3 separate regions of the Mus musculus genome follow, and all the other regions are reported to be linked to region 1. Evidence: microRNA targets listed by miRTarBase, many of them from high-throughput screens and not tested one by one. Region 1 holds a microRNA gene; each other region holds the end of a gene's coding sequence.
What was found. Region 1 holds the annotated microRNA mmu-miR-466f-5p (UACGUGUGUGUGCAUGUGCAUG, at 2,349-2,370, opposite strand). A microRNA usually pairs through its seed, bases 2 to 8, with sites in the 3' UTR of a target mRNA and lowers its output. Matches are read on the target gene's strand: a 7mer-m8 pairs with bases 2 to 8, a 7mer-A1 pairs with bases 2 to 7 and ends in A, and an 8mer does both.

Region 1 (4,232 bases):
GAACTCTAACTCATCATGAAGTTAAACATGAATTTGAACTCCAGATCCTCCAGACTCTGGCAAGCGTTTCACCTCCTAACTGAGACATAGCTCTGGATCACTACCGCATAAGCGCTAAAGCTCTATGGCACATATCATTTCAAAGGATATATGAGTGGCATTACTGTGTGTGCATGTGTGTATATGCATATTCATATAGAGAAGTGAATATGCACACAACTCTAACACATGCACATTCTTGGTGTGCATCACATCAATTGCATACTGATCTCTAAATCGTTGTGAAATTAAGCATGAATTTGAACTCCTGATCCTCCTGACTCTGGCAAGTGTTTCACCTAGTGAGTGAGACTTCTCCTTGACCCATTTATACATAGCTCTAAAACATTAAGTTACATATCATTCAAATGGATAGATGAGTATCAATTTTGAGTTTGTGTGTGTGTGTGTGTATTTGTGTGTGTCTCTGTGTGTGTGCATGTTGTGTTGGTTAGTTTATATGTGTATATTTATATGCATATATTAACATGCACACATACATATATGCACACATGCACATACATAAGAAACATCCCAGTCTGATTTCTATCTCTTCATGAAGTAAATTTTGTATTTGAACTCTCTCTTCACCTGACTCTGGCAAGTGTTTTTACCTTATGAGTGAGACTATTACTGACCCAGTACTACATAATATTTAAAGCTCTAAATTATATATCATACAAATGGATCAATGAGTGCCATTCATGTGTGTGTGTGTCCATGCATGCATGTATGTTTGTGTGTATGTATATGTATATTCATATACACATATACACATGAACACACTTATGTATACACATATGCACATTCAAGGGGAGACATCACATGAATCCAGGCTGATCCCAAATTCTTCATGAAGTTAAACATGAATTTGAACTCCAGATACTGATGACTCTGGCAAGGGTTTTTACCTGGTGAATCAAAACTTTCAGTGGCCAAGTACTACATAATCTCTAAAGCTCTAAGTCACAAATAATTCCAATGGATCGATGAGTGCCATTCATATGTGGGTGTCACATGTATGTGTATGTATGAGTTTATGTATATGTATATTAATATACACACATACATCACGGGATCATCACAAAAATCTCAGGCTCCTCTCTAACTCATCGTGAAGTTAAGGATAAAATTGAACTCTTTTATTATTAGGTATTTTCTTCATTTACATTTCCAGTGTTATCCCAAAAGTCCCCCATACCCTTCCCCCCCCAACTCCCCTACCCACCCACTCCCACTTCTTGGACCTGGCGTTCCCCTGTACTGAGGCATATAAAGTTTGCACGACCAATGGGCCTCTCTTTCCACTGATGGCCGACTAGGCCATCTTCTGATACATATGCAGCTAGAGATACAAGCTCCGGGGCGTACTGGTTAGTTCATATTGTTGTTCCACCTATAGGGTTGCAGATCCCCTCAGCTCCTTGGGTACTTTCTCTAGCTCCTCCAATGTGGGCTCTGTGATCCATCCAATAGCTGACTGTGAGCATCCACTTCTGCGTTTGCCAGGCCCTGGGCCTACTGACTCTGGTAAACATTATCACCTGCTGACTGAGACCCCTCTCAGGCCAAGTACTGCATAACCTCCAAAACTTGAGGTGACATATCATTCAAATGAATCACTGAGTGCCATTCATGTCTGTGTGTCTTTGTGTGCCTGTATATGATTGTATGTATGGATATGTATATTCATATACAAACAGGCAAATGCACACAAAACTATACACCCATGCACATACACGGGGTACATCCCAGGAATACCAGGCTGATCTCTAACTCATTATGAAGTTAAGCATGAATTTGAACTCCAGATCTTTCTGACTATACCAATCGTTTATATCTGGTGAGTAAAAAGTTTCATTGGCCCAGTACTACATAATTTCTAAAGCTCTAAATCACATATCAATAAAATAAATCGATGAATACCATTCCTGCGTGTGTGTTGATGTGTTCATATGAATGCGTGTATATATGGGTGTGTATGTATATGTATATTCATATACACACATATACATGCACACACAACTATACGCACATGCACAAACATGGGGGGCAAAACATGATTCACAGTTTGATCTCTAAATCCTCATGAATGTAAGCATGAATTTGAACTCCTGATTCTCCTGATTCTGGCAAGCATTTTCAACTAGAAAGTGAGAGCACTCACTGGCCCAGTACTACATAATCTCTATAGTTCTACGTCACATATCATTCAAATGGATAAATGAGTGCCATTCGTGTGTGTGTGTGTGTGTGTGTTACATGAGTGTGTATGTGTGTGTGTATGTATACATATATTCATATACACACATGCACATGCACACACACGTAAACACACATTCACATACATGGGTGGCATCACATGAATGCCAGGATGATCTCTAACTGAAGTTAATCATGAATTTGAACTCCTGATCCTCCTGACTCTGTCAACCATTTTCACCTGGTGAGTGAGACCGTTCATTGACACACTACTGCATAATCTATAAGACTCTAAGTCACATATCATTCAAATGGATCGATGAGTGCCATTCCTGTGTATATGTATTTGTGTGTGTGCATGCATGCGTGTGTATATGGGTGTGTATGTATATGTATATTCATATACACACATATACATGCACACACAAGTATACACACATATAGAGCAAGCAACACACAAATCCCGGGCTGATCTCTAACTCATCATGAAATTAAGCATAAATTTTTACTGCTGTTCTTCCTTACTCTGCAAGCATTTTCACCTGGTGAGAGAGAGAGAGCTCTTTTGGGCAAAGGAATACTCAATCTCTAACCTCTAGGTTGCATATCATTCACATGGATTGGTAAGTGGCAATTGTGGGTGTGTTTGTGTGTGTGTGCATGTTTGTGTGGGTATGTATGTATATGTATATTCATATATACATACATTTTCATGCACACATAAATATACACACATGCACATACATAGGGGTCATCACATTAACACAAGGCTGATCTCTAACTCATCATGAAGTTATTATGAATTTGAACTCCTGATTCTCCTGACTGTGAGAAATGTTTTTGCCTGGTGAGTGAGATGTCTCACTGGCCCAGTAAATTTACATATTATACAAATGGATCGATGAAAGCCATTTCTGTGTCTGTATCTGCGCATGCGTGTATATGTTTGTGTGTATGTATATGTACATTAATAGACACACATGCACATGCACACAAAACTATATACACATGCACATACATTCATGGGGGACATCCCATGAATTCTAGGCTGATGTCTAACTCATCATGAAATTAAGCATGAATTTCATCTCCTAATCCTCCTGAGTATGGCAAACATTGTTACCTGGTGAGTGAGATCTCTCCCTGGCACTGTCCTGCCTAAACTCTCAAGCTCTAAGACACATATCATTCAAATGGATGTGTGTGTGTGTGCATGAGTGTGTAAGTGTGTGTATATTCATATTCATATACACAAATGAACATGCACACACAAGACACACACCTGCCCATATATAGGGTACAGCCCATGAATCCCAGGCTGATCTTTAACTCATTATGAAGTTAAGCATGATTTTGAACTCTGGATACTGATGCTCTGGCAAGCCTTCCCTGGTGAATGAAAAGTTTCAGTGGCCCAATACTACATAATCTCTAAAGCTCTAAGTCACATATCATTCAAATGGATCAACGAGTGCCATTCCTCTGTGTGTGTTTGTGCTTGCGTTTATACGTGTGTGTGTATGTATATGTATATTCATATACACACATGCACATGCACACACAACTATACACACAGGCACATACATGGGGGGCATCACATGAATCACAGACTAATCTCTAAATTCTCAGGAAGTTGAGCATGAATTTGAATTCCTGATTCTCCTGATTCTGGCAAGCATTTTCACCTTCTGAGTGAGACCATTCACTGGCCCAGTACTGTATAATCTCTAAAACTATAAGTCACATATCATTAAAAGTGATCAGTGAGTGTCATTCATATGTGTGTGTTGCATGTGTGTGTATGTGTGTGTGTATGTGTATGTATATTCATATACACACATGCACATGCACACACACGTAAACACACATGCACATACATATGAATACCAGGATGATCTCTAACTGAAGGTAAGCATGAATTTGAACTTCTGATCCTCCTGACTCTGTCAATCGTTTACACCTGGTGAGTGAGAACATTCACTGTCCCCTAT
Region 2 (4,248 bases), not on the chromosome of region 1:
AGCAAGTCCTGCAAGGGCCAAGACTTTGGAGAGAGTCCTGCGGCTCAGCACTGCGTGCCTCCCGTGCCAAAGTGCCATGTGTGCACTGAATGTGGGAAGAGCTTTGGCCGGAGGCACCACCTGGTGAGACACTGGCTGACCCACACCGGGGAGAAGCCCTTCCATTGCCCTCGCTGTGAGAAGAGCTTTGGCCGCAAGCACCACCTAGATAGGCACCTGCTGACCCACCAGGGACAGAGTCCTGGGAGCAGCTGGGACAGAAGGACAGCTGCCTTTTGAAATCTGTCTCTTCTGTAGCCATGGTCATATCTGTCAGCCGGTGCTACCAGCAGCCACTGCCAGAGCTGGCCCTCTCCTGTACCCTGAGGGCCAGAGTATTTCTCACCATTTCTGTGAGACAACGTGGGAAAACAGAGTTCTCTGGGCAAAATTGTGGGAAATGGTGCAAAGTATGTATGTGTGAGGCTATTCATGCTGAACCTACTCTCAAGGGAACCAGCAGTGATAGCTGAGGTCCATTCTCACTGGTTGGGGTCCATGTGGTACCAGTTCCCAAGTATTTACTCTACACAGAGAGAAAGTGAAAGCGGCTGTTAGTATATCAAGGGCTCTGAGAACCCCCACAGTCAATTTCTATTCATGTAATGTTTCCTAAATTTGTTTGGCTCCAAGATCTACATCAAATTCTACAGAATGGGTGACTCCATGAAGTACTGGGCTAAGATGAAAGGAAGAAACAGGAAAGAGATGGTGATCAGGCATTCGGAGCTTGAGAGCAAGGGGCCAGACACTCTCATGTGGGTCTGCCTCCTCTCTTCCTCTTCTCTCTTCCCCTGTGATCACATGCCTCTCACTCCTCCCTCTGAAAAGTATAGAGTGAGCTTTCACTCCCAGTTCATAGTCCCTCATCCTGTACACACACACACACACACACACACACACACACACGTTCAACATGCACATACCACACACAACCACATGGATGCATATGCACACACATGCACACATGCTACACACACACACACACACACACACACAGCTGAGAGATCAGGTTACAGAGCTAAAGAGTGAACTTTGTTACCCAAGTAATCAAGGCCCACACAGAAGGAAAAACTATCCCCTTGAACAGAGCTTTCTCTTGTCTGTGTTTTTGTGTCCGTGTGTGTACGTGTGCAGGGTCTTTGAAGACAGCATGCTCAGTGCGAAATGTACAAGTTAGGTTTTCTAGGAACTGTGTTCTAGGGATAAGGGTAGTGGGGACGGTATGAGTTTTGGTTTTGTTTAAACGTATTCTGAGTGGTACAGGGAGTCGTAGTGGGATGGTGTAACAATGGCTTGAGTTGTGTACAAAGTTTTCCTTGGTATTCCTGGGATGTAGACAGTTGTGGATTTGTATATCTAGGTCTGAATCCCTGGGAGGAAATTCCCTTCCCCTACAGAGACGGAAAGGGACAGTGACTTGTTGTTGTTGTTGACCTCGAGCAATGTGATGGTGGTTCGTGCTGCGTGGGGTTCTGTCTTGTTTTGTTTCACGTGCTAAAACTATCAGGACAGGGGTCACAGCCCTGGGAGTTACTCTTGTCATCCTAGTTTGGCTTTCATCAAAGGGAAGAATGGTTGCTGAGCCTCTCATTCTCCCAGGAAAAAGAACCGGAGGAGAAAAGGCTGTTGCTTACCTTGCCGACCTGAGGCTACTGAGCTTCCTGAAGGTGTTCCTGCTGCCTCTGGAAAGGGCTTCACACTTTGGCTCTTGCCTCTGAGGTTAGCGCCTGCACCAGGGTTCAGACAGATGTCCCCATGCCTGTCAGTTCACGAGTTTTCACTGTTTTTTTCTTTTTGGTGACTGTGTTAATACACATCTTACAACTTAACCTCTATTTAAGAGAAGTTTGGAGTCAGGGAGGAACAGAAGCAAAGAATGTAAGAGGGGGTGTCTTCAAGGCTCACGCACGGGCTGCTGCTTCTCCTTGAGATATTTATTTCTCGAACACTGTTAGAATTAGCCAGAGAAGACACAGGAGGAAGTGATTTTCAGCGATCTAGTTAATGAGTGCTCTGCTTGAGAAAAGCTGGGTGAATCAGAGAGAGCTCTTGGGCCCTTGGCTCGAGAGGAATGGAAACAGAGTTATTCTGCTGACTAGGCATTTTGGTTAAATTGAGCAGCCCAGCCTCCAACCTCTTTCTGCAGCTGCTCAGAACAGCCTCCCTTCTTGAGCTAGGATGCATTCTCTTGCTTGTGTTCTGATGAATCAAGCAAAAAAAAAAAAGGGGGGGGGCAACCTTGCAAGCAGGCCTTAGTCTCCGGGGATTGGAGTCGTTCTAGAGTCAATGTGATGAGAATGAGAAAACTCGCCCACTTTAATACACATATTTACGATAAAGTCAGCTCTGTGCAAAGCAATCCCTTCGGAATCCGGTAGAAACCAGGCAGAAAAGTAGACATTTACAACTCACTCATTTGCATATGCATTGGACAAGTGGACTCAGAGCCTGCCCTTGGCATCTCCAAAGGAGAGGAACAGTTGGTGGTGGTGTCTCTCTCACATCCTTAATCCCAGCTTCAGGGAGGCAGAGAGAGATGGTTTCTGCGTTCTGGATGAGCCAAGGCAATGTAATGAGATCCTGTCTGAAAACAAAACAAAACAAAACAAACAAAACATAAGGGATGTATCCTTCCTGACTGGTTGTTGTGTAGATGACACTTGTATCAAGAACTACAAGGCAAGATTCATCAAGTATTTTAAGGATTTAAATACTAGAAGGCACCAGGAGATGAGGACAGAGCCAGGCCTTCAATGGCTAAGGCACGGCTTAGACTGACTGTGCCCTGTTCTTAGGGAACATCAACGTGCTCATGGCTCAGCTCACAAAGCCGGCTTTAAACGCTTGTGGGTGTTAATGTTCCTACCTATCAGACGATACCTCTCAATAACAGTGTAACCTCCAGCCTTTTATCTGCTTTAGTAATTGAGGGGATAGAAAGTGGAGCCCCCAAAGGGTAGGTGCGGTTACAGCATCCAACTGAAAGGCAGCACAGAGTTTAAGGGCTTTTTTTTTTCCCAAAAGGAACAGTCCTTTGGCTCATTTCTGATGTAACGTTATCTTGTCTACCTCGGTCCAATACAACGCCTTTGGACAAATAATAAAACGAGCAACGACCATTAAATGAGTGAATGGGTCTGATTCTTCACATAACCTCAAATTTTCACCTCCTCAACTCTTGGGTCTCATGAGTACACTCTCCAAGACCCTTACATTTTAATTTTGTGTATGAGTGTTTTGCCTGAGTGTATGTATATGCACCACATATGTGTGTCTGACACTCTCAGAGGTCAGATGTGGGCAATGAATTTCTGTGAGCTGTTTGCATCTACCCTGTGGGTGCTGGTCCAGGTAACGCCACACCTCAGGCTCCGCCCCTCTCTTTCGTCACCACTCGTGTCCACATCTTAGGCTCCGCCCTGGGCTCCCTCCTCTTACTCAACTCGTTTCCCCACAGGCAGCACCCTACTTGCTTTCTTCTCACTTCTGTTGTTCCGTTGAGTTTGTTTTGCCTGAGCAATCTCATCCCTTCCCAGGGGTATTTATTCTGCCCCATTTCTGTCCCTGCAAACCTAGTTTCTCTAAGTTTCTGGCTAATTGCACTCCACTCCGATCCCATCGCTACCCCTGCCTGCTGCCTAGTCTTCTCCTTGCTCCCTCCTTTTCTTTTTCCTTTCTCTCTCCATCTCTCTCCGTCTTGCCTCTACTGTATTGAAAATCTCACCCATGGTGCACCGACCCACAGTCCACTTCCCCAGCCCACTGCTTGCCTCTGCTTGCCTGGTCCAGCTCTTTCCCTCCTTTCCGGGATGCTTTCCTTCCCTTTCAGAGGCATTTCTCATCTATTTGGAGGCTGGGGGGAGGATTAATTTGCCCTTCCTGAGCCTCAAACTGTCTCAGTTTGCGGAAGGGGGCGCACATAAGGGTGTGTGCTCATGCACACGAGCGGAGAGATGGATGAGGACTTAATATAGGGACAACATAGCCAAAGAAGAGAACTTAGTGGCTGAGAAATCCATTCATTTCTCCAGATTTTTTTTTTTTAAACCACAGCAGAGTATGTGTTGAGGGGTGAAGCGAGGGGCTGAAGGGGAGGGTGTGTCTCAGTCTGGACAGCCCCCAGTCGCCCCTCCAAAACAAGCATCAAAAACAATCTCCGCCCCCTACACACACACACACACGCACACACACACACACACACACACA
Region 3 (4,203 bases), not on the chromosome of region 1:
CAATGAGCTCATACACAGAACAGCCTTGCTTAGCTGCTGGTCAGAGAGGTGGTCACTCCATGCTGTCCCCAGCTGTCAGCTCAGTGGCAAGCATCCCTCTTAGCATCCCTGTGTTCTCTTCCTGTGCAGACAGAGTGGGAAGCTTTGGAACTGACAGATCACCAGTGGGCGCTCGATGATGTGGAAGAAGAACTCATGGCCAGAGACCTCCACTTTGAAGGCATGTTCAAAAAGGAACTACAGACGTCCATATTCTAACCACATGCGGGGTCAGCTGTGTCCGGAACTTGCAGTAGCACTTAACCTTGTAACTTCCGTGGAGCTGGAGCCTCTGAGAATAAAAAGGAGGGTGCAGGGGCTGGCGGGTGCAGCAAGGCTCATTCTTGTCTGAGCTGGGTTCCCCTTTATGTTGGAAACTAGAGGAAAAGGAGTTGTGGGTGACTGCTGTCTTAAAGTTTGTGATTGTTCCTTCAGGTGACTCTAGTAAGGACGTCAGAGAAAGGGGAGACCCCATGCTACTGAGAATAGCTCAACCCTTAGCAAAAACTCCGTGCTTGGAAAGAGCATTGTCAGTTATAGCAGTTACTATGTTCGGTCAGCCTGACTTCCAGCCACAGTAAACTCCTGTTTTCTTAGGATCCAAACACCCTGCATTTTACCTTGAATTTCTTGTTTGTATTTTTAACTTTCTTTACACACGTAATATACTTTTCTCTACCACAATTTAGAAACTATGGCTGAGCAGCACAGCGCTCCCCGCACTGTTCACTTGAGCCTACAAAGGACGCAGAGAACTGGTGTGGCCCAACATTGCTGAAATAAACTCTTTGCAGAGTGGATCCCCAGGGCCGGGGCAGACTCAGCAAACTTTTCATATCTCTTCATACTTAGTCCAGTGAAAACAGGTGACCCTGAGGCACAGCCAGACTCTCAAGTGCCTTTGGGCTCATCAGAGACAGGTTACATATACAAGTTCTTGATTGGAACTTGAGGAAATATCAACTCTATCGGCCAGTCAATGGTGCTGTGCTGTAAATGGCTACTCATTTGAACGAATGACCTCATCCCAGTTCCTCTGGGCAGGAGAGAACTTACCACTGTTGGGGCAAGAGGACAGTTTCTGGTGGATATGTAGATTAAGGTGCCCAGGAGTCCTCTGACCAGGGAAGTGTTAGGGTGCCATTTCTGTACCAAAAGCTGGGTGTGTTGCATGTTAAGCACTGTAGCCAAGAACAAGCGACTCTTGACTCTTAATTAAACAGCCCTGTTTTCTCTTTGCCTGTGAAAGTGTTGCTTCTGTGGGTTCTGAAGGGGAAAGAGATAAGAGCCTTTGCCCTCAACAAACTCATAGAGGGGGGCGGGGGATCTGTGGATGTAGCCTAGTGATGTCAGTTAAGAGTACATTATCCCCAGAACACACACAAAAGACCTCATCTGAGAGAACTGCTTATTTTCTTTTATCTGTATGAGTGTTTGGCTTGTATCAGGTCTGTGCCCCACATGTGTCAGCGCCTGCAGAGGCTAGAGAGGGTGGTGAGTTCCCTGGAACTGGAGTTATCATGGGTTGTAAGCTACCGTGAGGGTGCTGGGAACCAAACCCTGGTCCTCCACAAGAGCAACCAGTGCTCTTAAGCACGTCTCTGCATCCCCAAGAGAGATCTATTTTGAGGTCATAGAACCTCTGAATCTGATGGTCCAAAGCCAGGGTGACTTGTGAGCCATCTCAGAAGCAAACTTGATCCTGAAAGTGGGGGGAGGGACTAAGGGTCAGGGCTTGCAGCTGGGGTAGGCGTTGGTAAGTAACTGCTGTGTAGAATGCTGGGGGTGGGACAGGGTGGCAGCGCAGAGCTCATGGTCATGGTCTGGTCCTGTCCTGTGTCCTCGTGCCTGCCTCTGAAAAGGCATTTCCCCTGTCCGGGCCTCTTGGAAAAGTCCTCAGAAGGTTAAATGCTTTTGCCGAATGACAGAGAAAGGACACAACCCATTAGAGAATTGGGAAAGAAAAGTGACACATGCAGAGCTTAGACACAGTCACAGCAGCAGCATTTAGTCACAGTGGGAGGCCACACAGCTGTCCATCATGAATAACTGTCATATTCATGTGAAAGATTACTAAGCAATAAAACGAACGATGTACTGCCACTACAGCAGAGCTGGTCTCTCAAACAAAGAACCCAGTGTCAATGAATCAGTGCCCTTCCCAGTTTTGTGTGTGCTGAAGACAGAACCCAGGACCTTTGTACACTAGTCAAGTGTTCTACCACTGAGCTGCATACCCAGCCCTTCCAGGGTCTTTTTTTCCCCTCCTTATTTTGGGGCCTTATTATGTAGCCCTACCTGGCTTAGAACTTATTATGTAATCCAATCTGGCCTTGGATTCAGAGATCCACCTGCCTCTGCCTCTGCCTTCTCAGTGCCAGGACTAAAGATGGCACCACCACAGTCAACTCCCATCCCATCCCATCCCATGTTTTAATGCAACCTCCAGAATTAACAAATCCATAGAAATAAAGGTAGATTAGTCGTTACCAGGGCTTGGGGAAGCAGAACGGGAAATGCCTCCTTAAGGGTCCTGTGAATTTGTTCACAGGGTAATGTGATAGATGACCTGTTATCACTGATAAAATACCTAACAATAATCAAGGAAACAGAAAATCTGGGCTCACAGTTTCAGATGTTTCGCTCCATGGTTTGTTGCCTCTGGTTTCTAGACCTGTGGGGAGGAGCCAGAACGCACAGAGTATATGACAGGGTCTTGACATCTTGAGGGGCATGCCCTGCCAACCTAGTTTGCTGCAATGAGGCCTTTCATCTGAAAAGTTACATCACAGTATTTGCACAAACTGGAGACTAAGCCTTCCACATGTGAACCTTTAGGGAAGTTCCAGATCCAAACTAGAGAGTGATGTTCTAAAGCTGGATATGACAGGAGCTAGGAGTACCCCCTTTGACTTGTCTAGGAAATGTGTGACTTTATCCCATTCAGGAAGAATGGCTCCCTACAGCAGGGATGGTCTGAAAATGGGTTAGGCACAGCACACTTTCAGGGTTCCCTATGACACATTTAGGGCTACATACGGAGCTCAGTTTATAAAGTGCTTGCTTAGCATACAGGAGGGCCTTGGGTTCAATGCTAGCACTCCCTAAGCCCAGCATGATGGCACTCTCCTGTAATAGTAGCATTCAAGGGGAATGAAAGGTGATCTGAAGTTCAAGGTCATCCTTAGTTACATACTGTGTTCAAAGCCAGCCTGGGCTTAGTAAGACCCTCTCTTATGTAAGCTGAGTAGATGATTTGTATGGATGAGGTCTCAACCCCGCTGTGCTGACTAGTTTTATGGCCACTTGATACAAGCTACATCTGTGAGAAGGGAATCTCACTGAGGAAATGCCTCCATAAGTCAGGCTGTAGGCAAGTCTGTAGAGCATTTTTTAAAATATTTTTTAAATTTAATTGATGTATATGAGTACACTGTAGCTGTCTTCAGACACACCAGAAGAGGGGATGGGATCCCATTACAGATGGCTGTGAGCCACCATGTGGTTGCTGGGAATTGAACTCAGAACCTCTGGAAGAACAATCAGTGCTCTTAATCGCTGAGCCAATCTCTCCAGCCCATTGTAGATGGGGCCACTCCTGGGCTGCTAGAGCCATTATGGACTGAGCTGGCTAGGTTCTGTAAGTAGGCTGAGCAAGCCAGTAAGTAACAATCCTCTTATTTCCTCTGCATCAGCCCCTGCTTCCAAGTTCCTGCCCAGTTTGAGTTCCTGCCTTGGCTTTCTTCAGTGGACTGATTCAGGGTATTTAAGACAAATAAACCCCTTTCTCCCCAAGGTGCTTTTGGTCATGGTTTTTGACCACAGCAATAATCACCCTAACTAAAACACCTGTCAAGAACATAAGAAGAAGGGAGAAAGGATGTTCCTCTAGAGAACCCTGATTAATACAAGGAGGGAAGGAACTATTTGGTTTACAGGATACATCACAGAGGAAAGCTAAGACAGGATCTGAAGCAGAGATCATGAAGGAATGCTGCTTACTGGCTTGCTTCCAATGTTGGAGTTCATCAAAAGACCCTCACTCACAAAGACCACAGAGACTGCCATCGCTGCAAACTGCAAAAATCCTGCATGAGGATTTTTTATTATTCCAACATGTTGGGGACTCCCCTCTCAGCACACAGGCCAGAGGAGAGACCCAGA

Region 2: the mRNA of Zfp641 is a reported target of mmu-miR-466f-5p. Seed matches in the 3' UTR shown: 7mer-m8 at 944-950.
Region 3: the mRNA of Emc3 is a reported target of mmu-miR-466f-5p. Seed matches in the 3' UTR shown: 8mer at 695-702.

What each region holds. Positions count from the first base shown.
Region 1 is chr2:10,466,823-10,471,054 of GRCm38, reverse strand. Mir466f-2 (microRNA 466f-2) reads right to left here and starts at 2,380; the gene lies at 2,287-2,380. All of the region lies in intron 10 of Sfmbt2 (Scm-like with four mbt domains 2), which reads right to left. It overlaps Mir466f-1 (microRNA 466f-1), which reads right to left and starts at 4,111; the gene lies at 4,018-4,111. Mir669f (microRNA 669f) reads right to left here and starts at 3,826; the gene lies at 3,706-3,826. It also overlaps Mir669e, Mir669b, Mir669d and Mir669l.
Region 2 is chr15:98,284,503-98,288,750 of GRCm38, reverse strand. Zfp641 (zinc finger protein 641) reads left to right here. Exons shown (of 6, transcript NM_173769.4): 6 at 1-2,629. The coding sequence ends at 279. Gm33967 (a long non-coding RNA gene) reads right to left here. Exons shown (of 4, transcript XR_001781762.2): 3 at 1,677-2,626. Among named protein-coding and RNA genes, the nearest start is that of Zfp641, 9.5 kb to the left of the region's middle.
Region 3 is chr6:113,511,958-113,516,160 of GRCm38, reverse strand. It overlaps Emc3 (ER membrane protein complex subunit 3), which reads left to right. Exons shown (of 8, transcript NM_175101.3): 8 at 130-1,274. The coding sequence ends at 258. Among named protein-coding and RNA genes, the nearest start is that of Prrt3, 12 kb to the right of the region's middle.